2 linked regions of the Nothobranchius furzeri genome follow. Each later gene encodes a partner of the first gene's protein in a complex. Links are inferred from orthologs where the notes say so. Each region holds a gene or a part of one and is shown on either strand. Other genes may lie near its edges.

Region 1 (4,132 bases):
AGCAGTTCCCAGTTTTGTCTTGAAAAAGCAGGTCGGCTGGTTTTGAAAGCAGTCTTTTGGCAATTTTTAATAACATCATAAACCTGTGTTCTGTTGTTTTTAACACCGTTATTTTTTTTCTTCAACCACCTTTTGGTGGACTTTTCTAAATTTCACCCACTGATTTTTCAGATAATTTTCTTCCGTGAAATTTCCTACTGCAAATAAGCAGTTTCAGCATTTGAACCACAGTGCATCAGTTATTGTTGTAGTTGAGTAAAAGCATTTTGCTACAACTATAATAAAATAAAGATTATCTGCATTAAATTCTCTTTTTTTTCTTAATATTGCAGAAAAGTATTGGGTGTAGCTGAAAAACACCAGCATTTCAGAGTAAAAGGCTTCAAAAGGCTACCTGCCACCTATGAATGTTTATTCAAATAAACCCAAATCACATTCAATCCAAATGATGACAAATAAAAGTGTTGTGAAAGAATAGATGAATAGCTGGCTGTAAAATAAATAAGATTGTAGAAAAAGGTCAAATTTTAATGAATAAGCAAAACTTATCATGGGCACATTGTAATCATCAATCTCTTCAATCTCTTCACAGATAATTGTGCATCACTTAGACACATTTACCGTTCTTGTAAACATTGAGATCTTGAAATAATTTGTTTTGCCTCAGTGCTGTCCATATGCAAACAAAACTACTATAAATGGATGATCCAATTATTTTTGATAGGGTCAAACAGGATTTAATGGTAGAAAAAAGAATTTCCAGGGACAAAAGCTCACTCTGGAGTTATTTAAGCATCATCGGGCTTGTCTGCTGGGGGCCCACATGGCTGAAGCATCTTCTCCATCAAATTGAAGCGAACGCGGGCCTTGCTCTCATTCTCAGCCACGGAGAAGTAGTTTAGCAGGTCAAAGTGTCCCATGTAGGAGCAATATGAGTCACGATGTTGGTTGACCAGCCATTCCCACTTGCTGGTATCAGCATGTCCTGTGCCGATGTACTTTGATTGAAGATGTTCCAGCTGACTGTGGATGTTGTATCGGTCCGTCATTTTCACTCAAAGACTCTGGATGGGGAAAGGATAGAAAAACATCACCCGTGATGTTCTTTAAAATCATTTATATAAAAAAATTCTACATTTTCTAGAATATTAGGCTGATTCATTAGACGTTGTTCTTGTACAATGTTGTTTGTAAAGGTCAATCTTGTTTGATTCACCAGGGAAAGAAGTCCTTTAAGTTTTAAAATAAACTTGGGGTTTCATCAGTGTCCAGATGAAGATGTACTGTTATTCTTAAAAAGATAATGTGTGCATGCTGTACGTAATTCATGCTGGGATGCAAAAAGCATCACTTGTTTTTACTACATTGTGTCAGAACTCCATACACACATTAGCCTGTATGATGTTGTATAAGGCACATACTGAGCAGGTAAAGCTTTTTAAAATGCTGCTTTCTAGGGATGAACAATATATCAGCATCAATATCTGTATCGGCCGATGTTGGTCAATTTTTAACATATCGGCTCGATAAATAAAACCAGGCCGATATTTTTTCCATCTCGTCTCCATTTGTTCGCCTGTTTCAGAGGGTGAGGGGGGTGATGTGTAATTGTTTAGTCATGTGAACAGTGAATGAAATAATCTCAGACCCATAAATGTGTGTGTTGCGTGTACATAATGTAAATTCAGCTTTAATGTCAGCATATCTGTACCGGCAAATATCAGTTATCAGCCATAACAGTGAGCTCAATATCAGATATCGGTATCAGCCCAAAAATGTCATATCGGTGCATCACTACTGCTTTTCTACATGTTTTAACTTTTAGAACAGCTAAAAAGTTTCAGACTTTTTAACATTGATTTCCAACAATGGTGGAAAGAAGAAAAAAAACCTCCAGCTCAGTCTCTTTTTAATTTGGGTCAGACAAACAAAATAAACGAGTATTTGCAGCTAATCGTAGCAGCAAAAGCTACTTCTTAACAGTATTGATACTATTTATTGACACAATCAGCAGATCGCATGCGCTTTTGATTTAGCAAAAGAAAAGACAACACAAACGCAACAACAAAACCTTAGAAGGTCCCAGGACTAAGTACTGATAACGCAACGTGTGGGTGACTACTTTAATCTGGATGTATGGTGACAACTAGGGAAAAAGACAGAATTAAAGCTTAAAAACTACCACTCCAACATTAAACATCCCAAAAAGACTATTATTTAAAGCAAAATACAAACGAACATTTCAAATATATTGGAAAGGCTAACGATGTTAGCAAAGTTATCTAATTCGTTCATGCAGTGTATTTTTCCACTGCATTCGAATCCTTAATCGCCGTTATTTATGTGAGTTTTATCCAAATGATCAACATTGACATATTAACAAACAAAATACAATTCCAAATATTCGGTCGTTGCCCTTTATTTACACATTTTCTTTGTTGGACAACGTTTGATCTTCCACTCTTTATGCTAACAGTAGCTTAGCTTAGCTAGTCGGTCTTCGTGTAATAAAAGTCTAAATTTAGGCTCCCCTGGAGGGCAAATAATAGCTTCAGCTTCACATCAATTGGTTTTAAAAGAACAAAACACTTACGTAATGTGTACAGAGATCAAGAACTAAAACAAAACAGGTAAATTAATTCTGAGTCGTTCAGGCACTGACAAACGACCACTGCCGGCGCGTTACCCTATGAAATGATCCGGGTAGGAACAAATGTCGTACTGTTCTGATTCCGCTCCATTGGTCAAAGTGTACTTCTTACTCACTCAAAGAAAGTTTTTTTTTTTTTTTTTTTTTAGAAAATCTGGGTACATTAAATACAGTTATTATTTTCTTTGGTTTATTTGTAGGTTAATTGAAAATAGGTTGTGTCTATGTTGCAATCTTTTCTTTTTTATGTTTTAAATTCGTGTGTAGCCTCTATCATCATTCCACACCATTCAAGGGAATACGTCCATTGTTTTTCTTATGCTTCTAAAAACAAATAGTACTACTTGGTCTTCTTCCAAATAAATAGACTGCAGTATTTATTGGCTTTTTCTAAGGATATAAATATGCAAGTGTCTGCAGCAATCATTAGAGTACCTGTGCAGTGAGATAAACTTTTCATCAAAACTGATGTATTCATGTTGTTTTAAAACATTTATCTTAAAACAAATAATCACAGTACAATTTTTCAAATTGCCACATCGAGACTAAATTGCTCAGAATTGCTTAGCACTGGGCTCTCCTGTGGCTGGTATAATGAAATTTTTTCTGTGGATAATGTGTTTGATGATGTTCTGCATTGAGCATGTTTGCTGCCTGTAGAGTTATGACCCTAATTTTCCATCTACCAGCTGTTGCTAATGGCAACCATGATTGGGACAGAAAAATATGAAAATATGGTTAGATTTGGGTTCAGAAATGTTTTGAAATATTTGTTAAAAATTACTCACCTATGATCTTGACTGCTTTTCCTCACTAGGGTCAAAGGGAGCAGTCTTTCCCCAGCAGTCATTAGCAAAGTACACCCTGGACAGGCCACAAGATATCACAGGGACACTGGGACAAACAAACTACCACGTTATGGTAGAGTCGCGTTGTTGTTATCCAACGTGGATGTTTTGTCTCTACAGATAGCACAAGCCTGGAGGAGCTTCTGCTGTGTGGTGGGGTTGCTAATGCTAATGGTCAGTGTTGGGAAAGTTACTTTTAAAAAGTAATTAGGTATAGTTACTGATCACGTCGTTGTCCAAAAAGTAACTAAAAGTAACTAATCACCAAGAAAAATAAACATTTTGTTACCTTTTTTTTCACTAAAGAATGCAAGAAAAATGGGTTCCCCTCTTGATTAAACTTACTTAATTTACTATAAATTACTACAATACTGAAATATAAATGACTAATGACTGGAACATAATAAAATGTATGTCAAAATGTTTTTTTTTTATCAAACTGAATAATTGAAACAGATGGGCACTTAACAGGAGGAACTACAAACAGGAACATTACATTAATCAAGACTATTAAAATGTCACTGTGTGATATTTAACAAGACCCCAATCAGCTCAAAATTATAATTGCAAATATAAACAACTGTAAAGGTTCCTGAGCCTTTAAATGGTCTCTCAGTATAGTGAAATTCCTGAA
Region 2 (4,060 bases), on another chromosome or scaffold:
CTTCCAGCTTCTCAGCCTCCCTCTTCTTCAAATATTCCCGACGAGATTGTTTCCTCAACTCTGGCAGCTGCAAGCAGAAAAGTCACACAGTCACCGTGAACTCGGCAGCTGGAGGAGATCGGGACACGAGCACCAACCATGTTCTTCTGACCATCTTCAGCCATCTTCAGACGCTTCTGAGCTTCTTCGTAAGCCTGCAGGAGAAACACAGCAGGAAAATTTTCCACCGGATGAAGATGACAAATAAAACAACGGGTCGGGATGCTGCCATCCTCCTCCTCCCACCTTCTTGTCCGTCCGCTCGGCGATGTTTCGGGTCTTTTCTTTGTCCTTCTCTTTCACCCTCTGAGCAAATGCGTCTCTCTCCTTGATGTCCTCCAGCCGTACCCTCTCCTCCTTCTCCCACTCCTCTTCCTCATCATCTTCTCTTTTAACAGACGTTCGGTCCTCCTGGAAAGAATCGCCCCTGAAATCAGAAACAACAAACCAGGATGAAGGTTCATGTTCCTGAGCTTGGATCCTCATTTAAAACATCGTAGAGATGAAGAATGTTCTGTGGTTCTGGATCAGCTGCTCTTCGACCTTTTTAAATGTTTTCTTTACTCTTTGGCTGATTTTTCTCCCGTTTTCAGTCCAGCCTTGTTGCCTTGACTATCTTTGTTTTTGCTCAGCCTAAATAAACGAATAAATAACCTTTGAAGAGTTTCATCTTCACTCGACGAGTCTTTCTTCTGTCTGATGTTCCTTTTCTGGTTTCCTCTGTCTTTCTCTTTACTTTTCTTCTTTCCTTTCTGTTTTTCCCTTGCAGCCACTTCGTCGCTCTCGCTGTCACTGTCCTCCAACAACGTGTACGTCCGATTCTTCCTCTCCATTTCGATAGCCTGTCGCTCTATTGCCTTGGACGGCTTCTCGACAGCCTGCTGACGGGGAATCTGGAACACAGCAGAGAAAGATCAGCACACGAGCCTCTACACGAGGTTCCGCGAGCACTATTTTATAAAAACCTTTTCATAAAGCTCCTTCGCGAACGCTGTCACAGTCTGATCGATGTCGATGGTCCCCGTCTGCTCCAGGCGACTCACAAAGTCCTCAGAGCTTGACGCTTTCCGAGCAAGGCCGATCATGAACTGAGGGACGTATCGATCGCTCAACCCCAGGATGTCATGCAGCCGGTCGTTCACCCACTGCTCCAAATTTGCCATGGCGCCTGCCGAGGGAGGAGCAGGTGGCTTTAATTCAGGTGAAGTGGTGCAAATGTTTAGAGTGTGAGTAAAAATGACCTAAATAAATCAGACTTTTATTATTTATGACAGAATTTGAACGTAGATCTTATGAACCCTCTCTGCCCTTCATGGCAGCACCTGGTTTAGATCACAATGACCCGCATGCTAAAACATATGAGAGGTGCTGATGTGATTTTAAGATGACCAGAGAGAAAAATAGGAATTCATCACGACCCAAACCATCATCACATCTTTTCTAACATCGATCAAGGGCAAAGGTCAAATCTGTCAAACTACATCAAACCAAGAACAGATTTAAAGAAAGAAGGAAGGACAGAAGATTTAAAACCAAATAAAATCTCAGATTCTGTAAAACTTTAAAAATGACTAAATTTACTTGTAACAAAGCTGATATGAAATTATAATATTTACTAAAATAATCAATATTAATAACGATTCTGAACCTCAGCACCAACACAGTTGATTAGTTAATTCTGATGTTAGCGAATGAAGCAGCTGGCTGCTCTTATGTTATTGTTTATGTGTCTGATCTTATTTTACATTTAACAATAATACATTGCAAAGATTCCAGCTTTGAAATAAGAGTAACGCATAAAAATGTGAGTTTCTGTGTTTTTGTGGTGGCATCAGTATCAAGTCTGAGTCAGTATAAACTTGCTAGACAAGGGCAAAGACACATTTAAATGGGTGATTTTAGCTTTAAAGGTTTGTTTTCTTTTTTATCTTTTCGTGATAAACGTTTACACTGATTCTGCTTTTGGGGTCGATACCCAAGTCTGATTTTTGTTCAGCTCTGACCTGCCCTCACTGTGCGATAAATCTAAAACATTTTAATAATTTATTTTAATAACTTCAGAATTATGATTCTGGAGGCAAAAACGTGCAAGTTTAGGAAATCATAGCTGGAGTGAATTAGTGATGGTGAGTTCATGCACAGGGGAAAATGTCCAGTTGTCCTTTTTTATTATCAGCGCTTCAGCTGAATGTGTTTCTGATCACCACCTATAGCTGATTTCTAAAGAAGATCAGCTTTTAGGATATTTTTGAGAAAGCTTGAATCTCCCAACTTGTATTAAATAATTGTTTAGAAGTTTTTCTTACATCTGGATCAATGAATAAAATCAAAGTTGTACTTGTCCAACCTGAACTCCATTTACGTAAAGCTATTATGAAACGTTTACTTTGTTTTGATTATCCAGTCAATCTTTCCCTAATTTATCCAGTAGTCGAGTTGACCCTTTCATTTGAGCAGCCACTGTGTTATTTTGGTTTCATAAAGACTTTTGTTATGAAAAACTTTATTATAAAAACGGTTTCTCACAAATAAAACACTAGATTCACTTACCGCTTTTTAAAATCGCTCATGCAACGTTATTGGGATGAAAATATCCGCCTGAAAGTAAAAAAACTGAGAGTTACGTCGTCATTTATCTAAGAGTTTTCTGTAAGAGCACTTAACGGAAACAGTCGGCAGCCCATAGCCATGGATATTAATGTATTTACGGCTCTATTTGTCAACAAATTCAACACATTTTTGCGTTTATTAGCTTAGCTTGCAACACGCAATGGGAAAAACGGAAATACGTCACATGGAAACAGCGGAAGAACAGAGTGAAGTAGAGGAGGTCATGGCGCTTACTGCCTTCCGGTGGTCATAGGAAGAACTACAACAAGAACATTAAACCACTTCGTGTCATAAAATCTGTCTCGTACTCATCTTTCATTTATTAAGGATATATTTTAGTGTAAGTTACCATAAGCTAACATTAGTTAATACTGAAAATTGTAAAGTAAAATATTCCAACATCTCCATTTTTATTTTCTGCAGAAATGTAGCATATTCAAGCTGATCAGGGATAATTTGCTCTAGCAAGTGGTTGAAAAATCAGGAAATAAATATTTATTGCTGACTTTTTATGAAGGAATATAAAACTACTTGTGACTTGTAAGAATCAAACAACAGAATAGAGAGTGTAAGAAAATAGAACATAAGATCAGTCTTTATGCAGATGATGTTTTACTCTTTCTCCAGAATTCTCAATCCTCTCTCTCCCATTCAATAGAACTGATAAACTCTTTTTCAAGAGTTTCAGATTACTCTATAAACTGGTTAAAATCCATAGTTCTACCAATTAATTTCTCTTTTGTCAATTTGCTTAATACACAATTGGAGTCAGGGAATATTACATACCGGGGAATTAATTTCTCTCCCAAGCTGGCAGATCTAACCAAACTGAACTACATCCCACTTTTAAAGAAAGTGAAAGATGATCTTGCAAGATGGAAATCCTTACCGATATCACTCATGGGGAGGGTTGCTACAATTAAAAAGATGGTCTTACCCAGAATAAATTACTTATTCTCGATGATCCCAAACAAACCACCAGCTGACTGGTTTAAATCTCTGGACTCCTCAATTACTAAATTCCTTTGGCAGGATAAACCTCCACGAATTAGCTTTAAAACACTTCAGAAGACCAAAGACAGAGGAGGACTGGACTTACCCAACTTTTATTATTATTTCTTAGCCAACAGGCTGCAATATATACCAAGATGGTTGCAAGATAACCCACTAGATGAGTCCTGGTTAGATATAGAACAGATACTTTGCAATACGATAGAACTTTCAGACTTACCATTTATTAGCTCAAGCATAAGAAAACACGAAGGCTTCAAAAGTATTAGTATCAGCACCTCTCTGACAGCATGGTGGGAGTATCTAAAAATGACAGAGTCTTCACTAGTACCATGCAGACGCACACCTATCTGGAATAATCCTGACATTTTGCAAAATAACCAAATGATGAACCTTCCGG

Evidence for each region.
Region 2: sf3b5 (region 1) and dhx16 share a complex: the UniProt entries of both Homo sapiens proteins name them as parts of the minor spliceosome. The link is inferred for Nothobranchius furzeri from reciprocal best matches to the Homo sapiens genes SF3B5 and DHX16.

The regions. Positions count from the first base shown.
Region 1 is NC_091752.1:24,290,246-24,294,377, reverse strand, and holds sf3b5 (splicing factor 3B subunit 5), read right to left. Parts: upstream 2,707-4,132; 5' UTR 2,594-2,706; intron 1,065-2,593; 5' UTR 1,050-1,064; coding exon 789-1,049; 3' UTR 503-788; downstream 1-502. UniProt on the Homo sapiens protein: Component of the 17S U2 SnRNP complex of the spliceosome, a large ribonucleoprotein complex that removes introns from transcribed pre-mRNAs.
Region 2 is NC_091745.1:60,403,067-60,407,126, reverse strand, and holds the start of dhx16 (pre-mRNA-splicing factor ATP-dependent RNA helicase DHX16), read right to left. Parts: upstream 2,808-4,060; 5' UTR 2,590-2,807; intron 1,208-2,589; 5' UTR 1,203-1,207; coding exon 1,005-1,202; intron 933-1,004; coding exon 694-932; intron 467-693; coding exon 286-466; intron 195-285; coding exon 138-194; intron 68-137; coding exon 1-67. UniProt on the Homo sapiens protein: Required for pre-mRNA splicing as a component of the spliceosome. Contributes to pre-mRNA splicing after spliceosome formation and prior to the first transesterification reaction.